2 linked regions of the Neodiprion lecontei genome follow. The main gene of each other region encodes a partner of the protein of the gene in region 2 in a complex. Links are inferred from orthologs where the notes say so. Each region holds a gene or a part of one and is shown on either strand. Other genes may lie near its edges. The genes, in order: actin-related protein 2 and actin-related protein 2/3 complex subunit 2.

Region 1 (11,511 bases), on a different chromosome or scaffold from region 2:
AGCAGAAAACCAATTACAAAAAAAATAAAATTAAGAAGAAATAAACCAGACGATTGCAACCGAGATCTGAAAAATTCGATTTCTAATTTCAGGTAAATTGTTTCTCTCATTTTTCGATCGATTGAAGAAAAATCGCCTGGACATTGTCAAAAAACGATTTGAATATCCAAATCGTTGTGAAATAATCATTTTCAAATATGTAGGGAGGGAACAGAAACAAACAAAAAACTTTACGCTTATCGTAAAAATCGTATGGAATCAAAAATAACTTTGCTGCACTTCTGAAGTAAATTTATGTGCAGCTTTTTGATGAAAAAATCTTTACAGTTTCTAAGGGGGTAAATTGTTGAACGGTTCGTGTGACGAGAGCTGAAACGCAGAGTTCAATAACAACTTTAAAAAGTTGACAACTTTTTATACCGAGGGCAATCGGGTGCACTTGCACCGAAGAGTTCAAAGAGCGTCCAACCAGGAGATTATCAAGTGCGACGAACGTTTCCAAGAAACGATAATATATTCGTTGTGAAACTTGCAATCGGCGTAAAACGTTCGACTGAATAACGCGCCAATTTCTCACGAAATGTTTGTCAAATTTACGTCGTCTTTTAGTTGAATCATTTTCTAAAAAAATTTTCGAGCCGCAAATTTCTTTCCGCTTCTCTAAACTCGCGATTTCATATATTTCGATTCATTCCAGAGATCGGAGTCCAGAAAATCTAACAATTGGATAATTTCTGTACATCAAAATTTTTCAAAATTTATCCCCAAGGGCTTCTCAGTAAATTTGTTTTACTAACCCTAGCTAATTTACCGACGTATCTCACTTGGCTTTGGATCTATCTCGATCCATCGATGGTAAAGCAGATCGTGAACAAAAATTATACAAACTTATAGGTGAATGAATTTTTTCACCTAAAATTTCACTAACATTGCATTCGATCTATAAGTATCCAATTTTATCTATGATCAATCAATTATCGACTAAAATGTTAAGCAGTAATGAGCTTGGGCGAAAATTTTACAAACTTTTATTCCACTTTCCTTACACATCTATAACATTTTATAATTATACTATACGTAGGTATGTAATAAAAATTACTTATACTTACGTATAGATCTGTGATGGTGAGATTTAAAAACAAAAAGAAAAGAAAATTCATGGTGGAAATTCATGGGATCTTTTTTTTCCCCTCTCTCCCTTATTTGCAAATTTTTTACCCATTATCCAATATTAAAATACACAAAAAAAAAAGAAAAAATAAACAAAAGAAAACGTTGGAAGAATATCATTTCGTATAAATGGAGAAAAAATGTAATGGTAATATTAAAAACACGAACAACTGTGTGACAATTATTACCGGTGAATACAATGCGGACGATTGCTACATTTATGAATTTGGCATTACGTTATTTGCGCCGGCACTTCGAAGCATGCGATGTTTTTCTGGCCCTCACTCAAAGCCCAGTGGACCTTCAGGATGAGCTGTAATGAAACGAAGAAGGTAGAAATTAAATAAAAAAATCAGCTCAAGGTGTGATAAATTTAACGTTCAAGTTCAAATTGGACTAAAACGTTTAAAAAAAAACCTTGTCGAATAAGTGAGACGCTTGAATATAAAAAAATCCATCAATTATATAATTTTTTTTGTTTCTACAATTTTTTTTTATATCTATTCCAATTACCATGTTTGCATTACATAACAAGATTAGAATATACAAATTTTTAAACGAAAACTGAAATAAAACCGCCTCGGAGATAATAAACAGCGGAAATTTATATGATGGATACGTGCGTGCGCAGCTGAATTTGCTTTTTACGTGTTTTTTATTTATTCATCTATTCGTTTCTTCCCACGTAACAATGAATATTTCAGAAAACTTTCTGAAATCTTTCATGAAAGGAAAGAAGTATATCAAAAATAGTTCAAAAAAATGTTACTGCAAGTTGAAAATGTCCGCGCCAGAAACTTGTAAAAGATTTCTTGATTGTTGTTGTTCTTAAAAAGATTCTCATAATGTTTCTATAAAATATTTTATTGAAAGTTTCTTAGAAAGATTTCATGTTATATGGAATAACTTCCTTAACAAATTATTGCCAGATATATTCATCATTTGTTCGTCGTTATTAAAAGGATTATATCTAATTCATCAAAATTTACCTTTGATTCATAGAAATTATAGTAAAATTGTGTAGGGAATTTTCTCACTTTAGCGGCCCTTAATTGTCTTCATTTTCGATCGAATCGAACTTTTCCAGGACATAATATAATGGCATAGTCGGTAACTTGTTACATTGAGTAACTGTATTCTATTTTGAAAAAGCCAGCTATATCTGTATTTGTTTGCTACAAGAATTGAATAGTAACTTGCCGACATCATCAATCACAGTAGATCAGTATATGATCTATTATGCCGGTACGACTTACTGCCGTCTTTTCATACCGACGAACACTGCGAGTGTGGCATTTTACCGACGTACACTTAGCCTAGCTGGCCCCTGAATCTGCAAGAAATATCACCCGAGGCTGGCTCTTTTAAATACTATATGGTTATGGATATGGATATCTTAGGGCCTATGGTTAGTGCAGTTAGTGGCAGCGCTAATACCTTCTAGTCGGTACCATAGACAGAGCATGGACTGCGCTTTCCCTAGTAGTAGAAAAGAGACAACCACGGTCTTACATACAGGTCTCCAGCTAATTTTTGGTGGTGGGAGTGACTCTGCTAAGAGTACCCGTGTTTGCAGTTCTTAATGTGACCGTCAAAGTCCTTGCGATCTAGGGTACAATGTACAGCGTATACAGCAATACTTGGAAAATAGAGGTTATGTTCTCAGCATAAACAAGTCATTAGTACCTTTAAAAAATACCCCTAGATTGTTGCGCTCACCACTGTCAGAACGTGAAATGCAAAAACGAGTAACGTTAGTGGACCCTTCCCCCACCACCAGAGCTGCCAGACCTGTATGTAAGAACGTGGAGACAACACTCTGCGATAAAACTTGTTCGCACTTTTGAGGTAACGTAACAGGAATTGTCTGAATGCGATTTGAGCTCCTCTTACGGAAAAAGGGACATTTCACCATAAGATTCGATAAAAGAAAGGCGGCGATCGTAACCTATAAGGCCCCGTGCTATCAACCTTAGAGCATACTGTACATGCTCTAAGCTATAAACATACTCCGTAAACACTAAAATATGCATTCTAAGCGAATGAAAACTGAGTAATTGTTTTAACTTCAAGCGACATTAAATCCGAAAAAAAGGTAACAAACGGTGGATCGTAAGATCATAGAGGCAAGGAGGAGAAGCGCTGTACGGGCTTACACCGCAAGAGGCGCTTAAATCGCACCTTGCCAATTCCTCTCACGTTGCCCCAAAAACTGGGCCAACTTTTAAGCTGAGCTTTGCTTGAGTGTTGTCCATGTATGCAAGAAATATATCCCACTCTGAAATACATAAAATGTATAAACGCATTTGCGTCATCGAACAATCCAATCTGTGATTTTCTAGTGGATTTACTCTGCCGAATGATGGCCGAGTGACCGGATCACGCAGCAATGTAGTTACCAATCTGCGTCACGAGTACTTTATGTTTGTGCAAAACTGAACCATCGACACTGAACCGTGTATTTCCCGATTGACAGATTGAATGGCTCCGCAGGAGGGCCATTATTTTCGAATAATATTATCTCTGATTAGTCGTTGATTAATTCGATCGAATTTTACTACACTCTATAAGCTTTGAAGTGGTAAAGAAATCTTCACACAGTATCACTTCTAACTAAATTTCAATGTATTAAAACGCTTTGGAAACATTTGTTTCCGTATACCGGTGACGCCCTTCTGGGTGTAGAAATTGTGGACTGATTAACTGATTAGTCATACTAATCAAGCATTAAATCAACGTTAGAACCCTAGCACAAACAGACAAGTGTCAAACGTTGAACCAAAAATTAATTAAAATGGATAGCCAAGGACGGAAAGTAATCGTGTGTGACAATGGAACTGGGGTAAGGTTATGCACATGTATATATTTATTTTATTGTACTAACGTACCTACTCTGCTTTCATTTATTGACCACATCATCAGTCAGTAAATTCGCTTCACCTGGCTTCACATAATCATTTTGTAATTGATTCACTTACAGATTTTTTCAGTTTCATAGTCTTTATCATGTCATTTAAATATCGACAAACTCCGTAGTGAAAATATTTGAATTACTAGTAAACCCTTGTGGAATTCAGAAAAATCTGTGCCGTAACTAAAATTAAAAGTAGTTTGTGTACGAGAATGAAAATTTAAATTTCATATTATAAGTCCATTTTTTTTTTCTTGACTCGTGGTGATTCTTGCCAAATTTTCAAGGTTTAAGGGTAATATTGTTCATTCGCCTTAGATTACAATTCATGATTAGTTCCTAAGTATGGTTGTTTAATGAAATTGAGTTTTCAACAAATGCTGAATTTGTTTACGTAACGTTTCATTGATTGTAATCTCTACAGTTTTGCATACGTACAGTGAGATATTCAAAATAAAATTACATTTGTATTTGATTTCTCACAAATAAGATTTTTTCTATTTCAGTTCGTCAAGTGCGGATATGCAGGCTCAAATTTTCCAGCACATATATTTCCCTCGATGGTTGGACGGCCTATTATAAGAGCCGTTAACAAGATTGGAGACATCGAAGTTAAGGTATATTATCCAAGAAATTGTTTCTGTCCTACAGTTTCATATTGTTTAAAAACATTGAAAGTTGGAGAATAATTATGTTAATTACATATCTTTTATGCATCTAAAATTCAGTGTCTGTCTAAGAAATAAGAAATGAAACTTTTGAATAGTTTAATTAAAAAAACTGAAAATTTCAGGAGGAATTTTATGTCCGAGTAAGTTACTCCGCACAGTTACATGTGTCAGTGTGTCATTCTGATCATTTTGTGTTTATTTGATGTTTATTAATGAATAATAATATCAGTAATAACAAATTTCAGTTGTATAACGTGATTTGAATGGTTACTCGTCATTTTGTTCTTTTACCTTACATTGCTTTTGGCCATGGAAAATAACCGGGATGAAAAAATATACTTCAGACATAATGTATAAAGAGACGGATGCAAAATTTATTCAAATTCTTTCCTCCCACACAATGGAAACTCACACGATTCAACTTCGACAGTAAAAAAAGCATCATTAAAAACTCAAAGTCAATACTTGAAACTACTTGAAAATTTCTATCTTACCAAGTCCTAAAAATATTTTAAAACCATTTCTCGTATCTCTCAAACATTTCGCAAATTTTCTTTTATATACATATTGTCAGTTGATCTGTTGCTTCCACCTTACACAATCAAAGGAAACAAATTAGAAACGAATTATGTTGGGTGTGCCTTTAACCAATCATAGATTGCTGCTATCTTTGTCAATTATGAACAGAACTAATTAAAAATGTTCTGCTAAAGAAAAAATTTAAAGGTGTCCTCAAACACCAGTCGAATTTAAAATGTACAGATTTTGACATTGTATCTATTGACGTTTTAAAATCGATATTCATCTATATGATAAATGATGTCACATTTGCTATAAAATTGCAGAAATTTACTTACGTTTTCTTAATTTACTAATTTCCATGATTGCTGTATGAGATTAAATATAAATGCAACAACAATAAATGCACAACATCTTTGTGGTATTTAATCAAAATCCATTGTTGCTAATTTTTTCGACGAATGTCAAGTTGGGATGTACGTATACTTAAAAACGAAAATTGAAACAAAAAAAAAAAAATGTTCAAGTTAAATTTGTTTCAATATGTAAACGTATATTACATAATCAGTCTATACATGTTTGTGTGTTATTACCGCTCGCATAGGATATGCCAGTAAGTTTGACGACATGTTATGGTTATTCAATATCCTGGAAAAATTCTATAGTTGTGTAATAACTTTTTTTTGGCACATAACGAATAAGTATAATTTCCATGGCGTTATTTTGTTCTATGCACTATTACGTAAAATGCTGTAAACTGTATAGAATGGAAGTGAATTCAATATACTTCTGCAAATAAATACAATTGATGATAACTGCTAGTATGTATGTACATATGTGTATGTGTGTATAGGAATGATTGTTATTCAATCAACTAACAGCATGCACGTTTTTTTATCCAAAGCGCACAGACGTGAGTTCCTTTAAAATTATCCTAAAACTTGCATACGATGTGTAGTATGAAAATAACTGAAGAATGTAACGTGTTTGGTAACGCAATTTTACTACGCAAAAGAAATTCCCTGCGCTATTCAGATGAACGAGAAATCGTTCAATTCGAAACAGTCGCAAGACCTACAGCCGAGATTGCTTTTTTGCAGGACTTGATGGTAGGCGACGAAGCGAGTAAACTTCGTTCAATGCTCGAAGTTAGTTACCCTATGGAAAATGGAATTGTCAGGTGAGCTTTATCAAACGGAACAGTTTTCTATCTGCACTTGAATTAACTCCTTCCCAAAAATGAACTTCAACCCTGACTGAATCCATTTCAAACGATACTGTCAGGTCAACCACAAGTCTATCTATTTGGGCATAAACATGATCTTTTCGTGAAATTATATTGTGAGTATTCTCATTTTGAAAGGCAAAATCGTTGATCGTCAAAAAAAAAAATAGCAACCTCTAATTTTCATTAAGTGCTGTAATTACCTACGATATTTAAATTGTTTATTCAAATTCCAATGAACGTTCTTCATTTTGTTTAAATATTTACTGGTATATTCAAAATACTTTGTAATTAACTAGCCGCTGTTGTTCCGTAAATCCAAAGTCAGTATAAACAACGATCCTTATGTTAATTGTAAACAGTTTTACAATTCTGTAGTGGATTTCAAATGGAAATCAAAAATTAAGAGAATTATAAAATAAAAAGCAAACTTGTCTTTACACATTTTATGATTTTCTATTATCAGCATCCCTTATACTCATAACTAGAGTACTGATAACTTTGTAAAAAAATATATTTGTCATGTATATATTATATACATGTATAGAAAGAGAGAGATTGATGCTATGACTTGTGTTTGATCTGCCTATGTGATTGCAAAAGCGATAAGTTCAAAATTCAACGTACTCAAATTAACAGGAATTGGGAAGACATGTGCCACGTATGGGATTACACGTTTGGCAAAGAAAAAATGAATATAAATCCAAAAGAGTGCAAAATATTACTGACAGAACCGCCAATGAATCCAACAAAAAATCGTGCGAAGATGATAGAGGTGAGGGAGTTTTCCTTAAATTGACAATTATGGTAGTGAAACCAGTAATCATGAACGTTGATAATTGATAAATTCATTTTATTTATGCAGGTAATGTTTGAAAAGTATGGATTCGATGGCACATATATCGCCATTCAGGCTGTTCTCACGCTCTACGCACAAGGTTTGCTCAGCGGAGTAGTTGTGGACTCTGGAGACGGTGTGACTCACATTTGCCCGGTTTATGAAGAATTCGCCCTGCCGCATCTGACGCGAAGATTGGATATAGCTGGGCGTGATATTACTAGATATTTAATAAAACTGTTACTGTTGCGAGGCTACGCATTCAATCACTCGGCAGATTTTGAGACTGTTAGAATGATGAAAGAGAAGCTGTGTTATATTGGATACAATATTGAAACAGAGCAAAGGTTAGCCCTTGAGACGACGGTCCTTGTGGAACCTTACACAGTGAGAAATATTTCTTGATCTTTATTTCTACATGCTTCGGAATTTTAATAATAGAAACGGAAAAAATTAAGTGAGAAAAATTCCAGCTTCCAGATGGCCGAGTTATCAAAGTTGGCGGAGAACGGTTCGAAGCACCCGAAGCTCTTTTTCAACCACATCTAATCAATGTCGAAGGCCAAGGAATAGCGGAACTTGTTTTCAACACTATCCAAGCCGCGGACATTGATATTCGAAGTGAACTTTACAAGCATATTGTTCTCAGCGGGGGTAGCACTATGTATCCTGGACTTCCATCCAGGCTGGAACGTGAACTGAAGCAACTCTACCTTGAACGAGTTCTCAAAAACGATATTGACAAATTATCGGTTGGTTTCAAGCTATTTGAAATTCATTGACAGTACCTTTCAATATCACGTGTTCAATTTTCTTTTACATATGTTATTTTTTTATTATTTTTTTTTTCCCCATGTTGAATTGAATCAAATACGCTTGGGTCAATGCCTCCAATCAATTGCACGGTTTTTTATGGAAATTTTGTCGATTCATTGGTCGAACTTTTATTTCAGAAATTTAAGATCAGGATCGAAGATCCTCCAAGGCGCAAGGACATGGTGTTTATTGGTGGTGCAGTGTTGGCAGAAGTCATGAAAGACCGTGACTCGTTCTGGATAACGAGGGAAGAATATGAAGAAAAGGGTCTTGGCGTACTAAACAAATTGACTGCCCGTTCTAGTTAAAGAAATATTCGTTTAGAATAAAAAACGAAACGAAACCCAAATCGTATGAGATGATCATACAATGAAAATTTTCATAAGTGACACAAAGTGAAGGATTTTTGTAACTGGAACTGGTTACAAAGTATCCAATTCCATTTTGGAAATGTGCTTGGATATTATTACACACCGTTTAAAATTAATTATTAATACTAACTGTGTATTTCGACAATGAAAAGTTGAATAACATTTAAACATTCAAAATTTCTGTTAAAAAATCAAACCTTTATTTTTTTTTTTCGTCATTATTAAATATGACAGATAGCGATAAGATAAGACTCTACAGAGTGAACCAAGTTCGAGGGTACGACGTGTTACAAATGAAAGATTATCATTCATATTATTGCAATTAGATATTGGTTCTATGGTATCAACGGTCAATTTGATAAGCAGTATAATTTCATCGCCTAGATTTAGAAATGATGCAATGCCTAAACGGGGCTTTTCGCGTCAACTAAGCCACTTTTGTTCGTAAAATAAAAATTAACTGTCAAAAACTCAGTCTTCCTCTGGCACCTCAATGCTGTAGGTCACGGCGATACAGACATACGTTAATTTTTTTTTACTAGAAGATCATTGGAACGATTTTATATAGAGTGTGAAAAATTCTCTACTGAATGCAAAGAAGGTGTCTCAGTTGTCGAGTTAAACAACTCACTGACAAGAAGTAGCAAATTGTGTAATAAATATTGATTATGTATGAATTATTCTAGCACTATGAACCGTACTTTCTACATCTACTTAAAAATAGTTCTAACCAGGTGCATTTATAAAATTCATTAAGTCAAGAAGGATTTAAACGAAACAGATACATAGATATATCGATATGTAGGATCGTTTGGAATGCTTTCATTTTTAGTGTATATTTTAGATAATATTATTCTTATTATTATTATTACCATTATTATCCAGATATCACTTCATTGTTGTACATACATAGCCTCGGCTAAACGAGACAGTTTTGTATTTTGGATCAGAACTTCAGCAAAAATAAATTTACCTATTGTAAAAGTTACTACCTCTGTATGTATATATATGTAGTGGAAAACTGTACATAATGTACGCATAAAAATTGTAAATGTGTTCGCTATTCGAAATAGGCAATTGAAAATCATTAAGGATGTTGCCTCAAACCCATTGAATGAGATTTCTAGCAGTCATGATTTATCGCTTGATGTTGACATTTTGCAACAATAGAATTTTAAACTCCATTCCATCCTATTCTCCTTGTCAAGCGTATCAAATTTTTGGTTTTAACAAACAGCGTTAAATAATTATAAACTAGTTATATTACATTAAATTTATATTATTTTTATTATGCAAAATTTTAAACCTTTCATAATAAAGAAAAAAAATACGCACGGACACTTATACTTTGGCCACATGTTGATTCAAGATATATTGAACCATTCTACAAGTGTTTAAAATCTTTGTAATCATGTGAAATCAATGAATTTACGACAGTTTTGCAACACTTTTTAGTATTCTGTGGACTTTTTCGAAATCCTGAAGACCTTCGGAAATATCTGAAATATTTGGATTTGTCATTCTAACAATCACTGTTCAAACTGACAATGAGCAGAATTACGTCTTTCACAGCTGATTTTACGTTCGAATCTCATTTTTTGAAAAGTAAACCAAGCGTTAACAATCTGTATTCAGTAATCACAAAGCGAAAAATTTTCCAACATATTTAAAATAAAAATAATACAATTAGAACATTTTTAATTTTGAATTTTATATGTGTTGGCACCATCGAACATGCGGCCATTCATCGCTTTGGCGGTAACGTTACCAGCTTTGCCGTTGGGCACTTTCCTTTTACATCATTGTTTGACACATTACGACACCGAGTAATTTCATTGGCCTATTCCGTTAGATCCAACCAATAAAATCACTTGGGCCCGTATTCATAGTCAGGTCTCAAGGCGGTGCTTAAGACCGTCTTGGTGAAGATCGTCTTATTCGTTCAAGACCGTCTTGAGATGCTATGTATTCATAGTCGGAAAACAAGACGGTCTTCGTCAAGAATTTGGTCTCAAGCGCTAGCTTATTTCATTCAAGACCGTCTTGACGAAGACTGAGCTTGAGACGGTCTTATTCGACGTTCGGTTATGTTCGGAATATTTCCGATGTATCCCCCAATAAGATGCTCGGATTTTATTTCTCAGCCTGTGCAAGATATTCGTATAGGCATGCAGCTCTTGAGTATTTTTATAGTTTATGAACACAACAACGTTAGCGCCACGTAGAGGAACTAAAAAACGGGAACAAATCGCGTGCAATTTTTTGTAGTGGGTGTATAGCTATAAAACGAAGAAGAAGAAAAAGAATTTTATAGTGTATGTTTATGTGTATATAATTTTTATATACACATATTTTAACCTATATCATTATGTAAATCTCTATACCGGTTATTGATAAATAAATTGTATTGATATGTTAAAAGGAATCCCGGTGCAGACTTGCAAAAAAATGCGCGTGAAAGGGACAACCTTTGATCTTCAAAGTTCAAAAGAGCAACTTTAGTTCTATTTACTGGCTATATTTATAATGTATTGAATATTTTTACGTAGACAAATTTTCATAAGTATTATCGTAACTATAAGACTGACGCTTAGTACAATTACGTACATATCAGTATTTTCATGAGTAAGTGAGGGGTTTAAAAATAAAATGAGAACCAATGATAAGTTATGAGTAAAATATGTATTCTAATGTTAACTGTTTGTACAGATTAAATTCAATTTTATTAAATATTTGGAGTATATTCATTCTAAAATCAATTAGTCTTTACAATTAAATTAACTTGATATACATATATTTTGATTAAATGAATAACCGTTCGATTAGAGCTTCGCGTATTGCAAAACCCTCTCCAGGCTGCCAATGCGGTGCTTGAGGTGGCAATTCATCCGCTTCTTCTTCCTCGATGCGATTATCTTCCGGAAGAGCATTATCCAATGTTAGTGATAAATTGTGTAGTACGGCACAAGCTACAACAATTGTGGTAGAGC
Region 2 (8,543 bases):
ATTATTGCATGTGAATTAAATTAACAGAAAATAATTTGTGTATTCTGTCTTTAAAATAAAGATTATATTTACTCTGACAATCCGTTCTGGCTTTTAAATTTGTACCCATTTCTTCCAAGATCAAAAGTTGTAATTGTAGAAAATTTACACTACTCTTATTATTTATACTGTTTTGCAATAATCTGTACAGCAATTTTTCGTCGATGTAGAATCTTCTTGGGAGCAAATTTTTTAAATCACATTGCTCAATTCCCTTGGCTCGTTTCGGGCAAGTCGCAAATGCACTCCGTGCAAAATAGCATTTACTCTTGCTCTGAATCCACGCGTCGGCTCATTGTACGTCACTTCTTTCTGTTGTCTCTGCAGCTCAGTCTCGGCATCAAATCTTGCTCGTACTCTGTCCAGAGCTGAGTTAAGAAAACGTTATTTTATTAATAAGGCAATGTATGACCAAGTGATTTGACTGTTTTGTTACCTCGTTTCAAGTCCATTTCGTCCATCTCTTCGTTATTTATATTTGTTAATTCCTTCCTGAACCGCCTTGTTATTTTGTTCCTAATATAGTCAGCCTCGATCTCCTGCTTCGTCCGAGGAACTCTAAATCTTATGCAGCAGCACAGTGCTATTATGATAGTTAACAAAACGGAGAGAACCATTCCAGCTAATTGCCATACCCGAAAACCAGCCACGGTTTCGTCTTCGAGCCATTCGTTCACGCCACCGTCGCCACAGTCTCCATGCCTTATCGGCACTTCGTTCGGAGAACAGGGTGGCACGGTCAACGTCGAGGAAGCGGAGCTTGGCATTGTCAAATTTGTTTCTTTGTCCATTGAAAATTCGGGTGAATTTTCTATCTGTTCACATAATACACTGGGTCTTCGTTACATTGTGTCGATATATCTTGACAAAATCTTGGCTGCTTAAATTGGTAAGTGAATAACTATCTGCACGGAAAAACCCCTGGCAGAGGACTTTATTTTCTTTTACAAAAATAAAATTCGTTGAAAAGTGTTCTATTAGTTGGCACAGTTGTTGCACAGAGGCATTTAGTTCAGTGTATTCCGGACGAAAAATCCTATCTCACTGAAAATGTAGAATGGGTTTGTGATCAAGTTGAGTGGCATGGAGGGTGTGGCATGGTTACTAATGAATATTTCCAACTGGCACTCCCTAATTTACTGCTTCGCATGATTCAACCTATTCTTTGATCAAAGATCAATATCTCCGTGACTCCGAGGAGAGAGTTATTATTGCCATTATTAAGTTTATGTCGTCATTGGAAAGTATTAGCAAACTTAAAAAGGGGCTAAATATTATTTGTTTGTTTTGCACTGCATTTCGTTATTTGTAATATTTTTTTTATTACCTTATAATAATAATTATTATATAATAATAATAGGTAAAGATTGGAAATAAAAATAATCATTTGTTACAAAAACAATGTACTATGTTACGCGGGTACGACGCAAAAAACTACGTCGTTTAACGGTATCCACTTCATTTTTTTATTTGTTAAATTTCTTGATTATCTGTTATCGTTTCTTTTCGGTCTGAAGCTTTCTGTTTTTAGATTATGTACTAGTTTCTGTTTTCAATTTCATAATTTTATAATTACAGTAGATAGGATCAGGGTAAACCACAACATTTTTTCCAGTTCCAATATTACCTGGCGTCACTAGTCCGTATTTTCATTACAGAGTTTTCCTAAACAGGAGCTAGAGACGTCAGAGTGTTTGTGCGATACAGGATAGTCATGTAGTTTGATCAAAATGAAACCACTGAAAATAGCGAATTTTCAAACAGTTCCCACACATCGTCACTTTGATCGCAACAACTTGGATGCTACTTTGTCTAAATGACTAGCGAGTAGTGCTGACGTATGAGAAAAGGTTTCGATATGCAAAAAAAAAAAATACCTTCTTTACAATAGTCAGGAACAAGTTTTGCTTTCTGCAATTGGAAAGATCATCGTGATGATGAATATTATTGCAGAATTTTGTAACTCAAATATTCCAACTCAAATGTCCCAAACGTCACGTATTGGACTTCCTATTTTTTTTTGCTCAATTTCATTTTGAATATGAGTCAAGGTATTTAAAATTTCCTCGTTCAAATTCTGATTTTGAAATGCACTATTTCAACTACGTTAAGACTGAACACTTATCATTAACGTTGCTAGTTCGAACTAGGGTGCTGTTGTAAAATTAGTTTTAAATTAAATATGTTCATACATCAGAATAAGTTGGCTCAAACTGAGAAACTAAAAGTTTAGTAAAGGTTATTGTAAATATCTTTAGTTAAATTATTGAAAAAGAAATGCATTGAAAAGTACTTATACACAAAAAATTACTCGAAGTTAGGCATGTTAAATGCAGTAGAAGGTACGATGGCAATAATTAATTAATAGTTAAAGACGAAATTGTAAATATTAACGGATTACACAAACAAAAATTACAAGAATCTACTACGAATTGTTGTACACTCAAACTATCGCCTGTCTAGCCTGTATAGCCAAATACTATAGCATAAACTCGGGCCTGTGGGATGGGAAGCTCTTGGCTTACTAATTTTATTAAACGGGACCGTCGCTTCAAGGACGAATCATCTTTTTGTTTTTGTATTCGTGGACCTTAGATGACGACACAAGGTAATTGAACGTCCCTCGTTCATCTCTGTTTTAATTAGTATTAACATTATCGATTGACTCGTAGGCTCATTCCTTCCTAATGAACGTTCGACCTCTGCAAGAAGACAAAAATAAGTGAAAAAAAAATTAGCAAAGAGGGTCGCAATTACGGATCAGAATTCTAGGTAAACAATTGCTAGCGATTTTTTGTCAAGTACTGTAATTTATACTCACGTTATGGTTTTCTTTTCGATGTTTTTAGGCTCGGGTCTCGCGCGGTTTAGTACTTTGAGGAAATCTGAGGTCTTGGCACGCATTCTTGAGTGTATGTACGCCTTGCTGCATTTGATGTGGTAATGCAGGTAATCTCTGAACATGTGAATCAGGTCGATGGTGTTGTCACGGGCCTCCCGATTCGTGTGTCGCGGGAACAGCACTGCCGTAAAAGGCATATAATAAGTTGTCGAATGATAAGTAACGAGCACTTGGAAAAGCATTTCGAAAAGTACTTACCAAAAGTAATGTAACCCACATTATCGCCGACCGCCGCGTCAGAATCTTGAAGCTCCAACGGTGGCTCCCGATGACTGAAGAGGACTTGTGGCGCGGTGTGACTCGCCCGTCTCCCTTCCTTGAGTTCTTGTAGAAACACTTTGCCGATAACTATGTCATCTTCATCTTTGAACACTGTACTAAATACCACGGTTACTCTGTCACTTTTGGCCTCTACGTACCTGGAAATAGGAGGAAAATGAATTTCTCCTGACTCAACGAACTTGATTTCAACTAAAGCAAAAATGGTGTTACATTTTGTTACGATACTCACAGTGTTTCCTGATCTCGATATTGTATTACTGCTCTTTTATGGCCTTCCTCGCCTGCTTCTTGGAAGTCAAAATATTTTTCAAATACACTTGCAAAACAGTGCCTTTTCAGCAGGCCAACATTTTTGACCAACGCTTCCCAATCCTCGGGCAAGTTCTCTAAATCTATCAGCAACGACACATTGTATCCTTGGAAAGAAGATAAATAATTTGTTATATTCATTCACAGGGCACTGCAAAGCGTAGAATAACGAGTGAGCCTTGATGTACAGGAAAACATCCAAAGAGATAGAAATTAGTCCACAATATTAGTCTTTTCATTTTTTTTTTTTTTTTTTTTTTTTAATCAAAGGCAATATGCCAGAAGATTTTTTGCTAAATCAAAATAAAGGAACAAGAGTAACAATCAGCACCACGGATTTTAAACAAATCATTACTCTGGAAAAATTGCAACTCACCATCCTCTTCGGTAGTAAGTAAAGGGCCATACTCGCGTTTGAGCAATTCGTCAGCACCATGTTCTTGCAACTGCATGTAAAACTTGAGCGAGATACTAATCTGTGTGGAATAAAGATACGGATAAAATGAGAGTGCAGAAATATTTTCATGTGGACTAGTTTGGCAACGATACGATTTAAGTATTCGTCATTGACTGACAGAATACGTACTCTAATTTTGGTTTTGTCGCCTCCAACATTGGAAATGTGGAACAAAACTCCGTCAAAGTCAGCTATTTTGACATCTATCGATTCCGGTTTATGCCTGTAACAAGAAAATGAGCAAATATGTATCGCAGTAACGAAATGCAGCGCTTCGCGTATTAACATGATCCCCTTGTGATTCAAACGGTCATGCGGTAGCATTTAAAGTCTCAACATAATGAACGCTCCAATTTGAAAGGTGTGAAAAATTGTTCTATTTTTGGAGCTTCTTGATATCTGCACATCAGAGTGAAAATGTGGGAGGATGTGGTCAACGAGAGATAAGAGTTTGCAGATCGGTGCGTAAAGTAGGCGAGATGGGAAAGAAAAGTTTTGATCACTTGACAGATTCTGTCAAAGCCAGTAAGTTTAGACAGGGTGAGGTTAGTCTAGGGTCGGGCCTGACTCTCTGTCATTTGCGATTCCTAATCGCAAGTTTCCCCGGGAAGTGAGTTAAAACGGTTTCTCGCAATTAATCAGATAAGGATATATAAAGAGCCGCGGTATATCGAAAGCGAGACACCGCCCCAACCTCAAAGTTAGTTTGATATGGATAAGAAATAAAAAAAAATAATAATAATAATAAAAAAAGGGAATTAGGTGAATGAAACGAATAAACGGTTGGAAAAAAAGTTATTCGTATAATTTTTAACATCGAAACAGACTTACCCAGCCAAGGCATTCTTTATTTTGTTATTTAACGTTTCCTCTATTATCCTATTGTTGATCTCAAGTAAGATCATTATTACGACTAATATTTTTATTATTAGAATATAATATGCTATAATACAATAATTAACAATTATATAGTGCTGTTGTAACCATGAATACCGAATACGACGGCTCTGACTAATTTCTAATCTTTCCACTTCGACTGGGTGTAGTGGGGTTCGGATCCTCAACCGCTCCAGCGGCAGGAAATCCGCGTTAACATTGGAGCTAGGCCGGCCCCTCGAACCCTCCTGCGGGAAAAGAAGTAAACAACAATCAATTCCTCATCTCGACATCCCCCAGGCAGCGCTCCAAAAGTCAAAGATGGCCGACCTCAAGGCGGGTGTTTTGAAATTTAAATACAAAATTTACCAACAATCTCAAACATGGGAGCGTTGACTGAATTAGATCAAGTCATAGATGAAATTACAATATATACATATATTTCACACGCCAGAGGCCTGGCAATGGAATCTAATCAGAAGAGAACGAATATAGCGCAAGAATTTTCAGAAATTTTTTAATTTACATTTGACAGGCGTTTTACTCTGTGAAACATGACAGAATTTATTTAGCGCCTAGATCGAACGAATATAATCACCTTGCACCGATTTCTTTTTATTAGCTTTCGCTACTACTCACAGTCAGTTTGTGCAAAATCCACAAGATGACGTTCCGACAGTTGAACACTTAGAAGATCGCGATACCTCGGCAAAGTGGTTTGTATCATCTAGATCCTCGTTCTTAGTTCGTGTTTCATGGTAGACACCACCAGACCTGAAAATGGCGACTCGTCTGCTAAGGATTAGTTCCGCGCTGCGAACTTATTCGAATAAAACCAGTCACGTCAAGGTAAAATCATCTACCTGTCACTCCTCGCAACGATTCGTCGATGTCTCGCCTTATGCCGAGCACAACATTTTTCGGAAATCTTTTACGGGATTACTCGGCGAGCAAAACCGTTCTCGACAGTCAAATTTTGTTTCTGCTTCAAAGTAGTATCCCCTTACGTAATGTAGCTCACAATTTATTCATATTTACGGCGTCAATTCGCACGAGTATCGCTCAAGTTATTCTAGCTTCCGATCCTGAATCCAATAATACACCGTACCGCCGATGCCACGATCAATAATGGGTGGAAAAGAGATGAGAAATTAACGTTCTTGCCATACCCAGTGTTTATTTTAGAATTCAAAATTGGCAGTCTTCCTTTTTCTGCAAAACCTATAGCTCATCCCCTTTTCAGATCTCCAAGCAATGGAGGTCCACTGCAGCATCGCTTCAGCAGACATTGATCAATCAGCCTGCCACGAAGACCACGACCTTTGAAAATGGCATGCGAGTTGCCAGCGAAGACAGCGGCGCTGCTACGGCAACCGTTGGGCTGTGGATCGACGCCGGAAGTCGGTATGAAGACGACAAGAACAACGGAGTTGCTCACTTCATGGAACACATGGCTTTCAAGGTAGGGTTTTAATGGATAGAACGTCCGTATCGGAAGGAGCATAAACCTGAAGATCAGCATTTTTTGCATCTGTGCAAGCTCCGTGCGCAATTTATTTTTTTAAATATTTAACATCTGTTTCAGGGAACTGCCAAACGCTCCCAGACAGACCTGGAACTGGAAATTGAGAACATGGGAGCTCACTTGAATGCCTACACGAGCAGGGAACAGACTGTGTTCTATGCAAAATGTTTGTCCCAGGACGTGCCAAAGGCGATCGAGATCCTGAGCGATATAATCCAGAACTCTAAGCTAGGCGAGAGCGAGATTGAGAGAGAGAGGGGAGTGATTCTCAGGGAAATGCAGGAGGTGGAGACAAATCTGCAGGAAGTCGTGTTCGATCACTTACACTCAGTCGCCTACCAGGGAACTCCGTTGGGCAGAACCATTCTTGGACCGACTGAAAACATCAAGAGCATCACCAGGAATGACCTTGTTACCTATGTCAAGAATCACTATAAGGCCTCAAGGTATTATTATTGAATATAACTGCATTCGGTTTTCCAAACTACACACGTATTCAAGAATTCTAGTAAACAAAGTTTACTGTTGTGCACAGGTGCGTGCTGGCTGGTGCAGGCGGCGTTGACCATGCGCAGCTCGTTGATCTTGCTAAGAAACACTTCAGTGGTTTGGATAACAAAATCGAGGGAGAAATCCCACTAATTCATCATTGCCGCTACACTGGATCAGAAGTCCGTGTCCGTGACGACAGCATTCCTCTGGCTCATATAGCTATTGCTGTTGAAGGTAGCAAGATCAGATAATTACCTCAGACTTTTCTCCCAAAGTGTGAAAGTCCGTGCGCAATTTTTGATCTCTCTGATCGTGTAATTTAAGGCGCGGGATGGACCGACGCTGACAACATTCCCTTGATGGTCGCCAACACTTTGATGGGTGCTTGGGATCGTAATCAGGGCGGTGGAGCCAACAACGCTAGTAATTTGGCCAAGGCCTCAGCCGAAATGGGACTATGTCACAGCTATCAGAGCTTTAATACCTGCTACAAGGCGAGTTTTCAATTTGCTTAGTTGTTTAACTGAAGCGGAGTGGTGGTTTACTCAAATATTGGTTATTGAAAAAAAATTAGTAATCACCATCAAGCTAGTCTGTAACAAGTGGGATAATATTCTCTTACAGGATACAGGACTGTGGGGAGTTTACTTTGTTTGCGACCCAATGCAGTGCGAACTAATGCTTTACAATATTCAAAACGAATGGATGCGTCTCTGCACTATCGTCACTGAACGCGAAGTTGAACGAGCCAGAAATATCTTGAAGACAAACATGCTCCTTCAATTGGACGGAACTACCGCGATTTGCGAAGACATTGGCAGACAGATGCTGTGTTATAACCGTCGCATACCTTTGCACGAACTTGAGAAGAGGATAGACGTATGTGTCGATGATTATTTACAAATCGATAAATTTTCACTATCATAAAATCGCAAGGGAACAGTTTTGTGTTTATAACATATTCTGCTTTTTGTTCAATTCCACAGAGTGTTACCGCAAAGAACATTCACGACATTGGTATGAAGTACATCTATGATCGTTGTCCCGTCGTCGCAGCTGTTGGCCCAGTTGAAAACCTCCCAGACTACACTCGTATTCGTCAGTCGATGTATTGGCTCCGAGTATAAACGTATGGCCAGAGTCGCGAGTCGCCACTAATAACGTAACTCTTAGCCACATGCATATATATCACAGTAAAATTGTAGAATGCAGTATTGATTGTATCAAGTACGTACGCTAATCATTTCGCGGTGAAGTTGGACTCAAACAAATTGATACAATTTTACATGTTTACTGTGAGGATTAAGCAAAATAGTTTGCTGATGTATGTATGTACATTGTCTTGTTTAAATTTGAATGTCATGTAGTTACAACCCTTCGAGAAATTACGTCGCATTTCGTCATTAACTCGAGACAGTGTATGAATATATTAAATAGATATTTATATAATTGAAATGCTGTTGTCAATGTCACCCAGCTATAAATGACACAATAACGATGAATGTAATCTTCCTCAAAACCACTCCAATAAATTCCTTATAATTTATTATAAGAAAAATTTTCATCTGTTGCAAATTACTTCGTAGGATTAAAGTTTCGGCAATCGTAATTATTTTTGCAATCTTGGTGAATGAAAAAATCAATTATATTATGTATAAGTA

Evidence for each region.
Region 1: actin-related protein 2/3 complex subunit 2 (region 2) and actin-related protein 2 share a complex: the UniProt entries of both Drosophila melanogaster proteins name them as parts of the arp2/3 complex. The link is inferred for Neodiprion lecontei from reciprocal best matches to the Drosophila melanogaster genes Arpc2 and Arp2.

The regions. Positions count from the first base shown.
Region 1 is NC_060266.1:18,355,125-18,366,635, reverse strand, and holds actin-related protein 2, read left to right. Parts: upstream 1-3,594; 5' UTR 3,595-3,964; coding exon 3,965-4,012; intron 4,013-4,587; coding exon 4,588-4,698; intron 4,699-4,874; coding exon 4,875-4,892; intron 4,893-5,875; coding exon of another isoform or gene 5,876-5,884; intron 5,885-6,371; coding exon 6,372-6,451; intron 6,452-7,135; coding exon 7,136-7,271; intron 7,272-7,361; coding exon 7,362-7,721; intron 7,722-7,807; coding exon 7,808-8,086; intron 8,087-8,287; coding exon 8,288-8,458; 3' UTR 8,459-9,509; downstream 9,510-11,511. Other genes in the region: putative nuclease HARBI1, read right to left, coding at 11,324-11,511. UniProt on the Drosophila melanogaster protein: Functions as ATP-binding component of the Arp2/3 complex which is involved in regulation of actin polymerization and together with an activating nucleation-promoting factor (NPF) mediates the formation of branched actin networks.
Region 2 is NC_060262.1:1,739,786-1,748,328, forward strand, and holds actin-related protein 2/3 complex subunit 2, read right to left. Parts: upstream 5,041-8,543; 5' UTR 4,895-5,040; coding exon 4,821-4,894; intron 4,213-4,820; coding exon 4,119-4,212; intron 4,009-4,118; coding exon 3,909-4,008; intron 3,640-3,908; coding exon 3,453-3,639; intron 3,361-3,452; coding exon 3,140-3,360; intron 3,063-3,139; coding exon 2,861-3,062; intron 2,742-2,860; coding exon 2,714-2,741; 3' UTR 2,613-2,713; downstream 1-2,612. Other genes in the region: transmembrane inner ear expressed protein, read right to left, coding at 232-407, 476-830; mitochondrial-processing peptidase subunit beta, read left to right, coding at 5,646-5,714, 6,109-6,327, 6,451-6,836, 6,926-7,116, 7,207-7,376, 7,507-7,761, 7,869-8,009. UniProt on the Drosophila melanogaster protein: Functions as actin-binding component of the Arp2/3 complex which is involved in regulation of actin polymerization and together with an activating nucleation-promoting factor (NPF) mediates the formation of branched actin networks.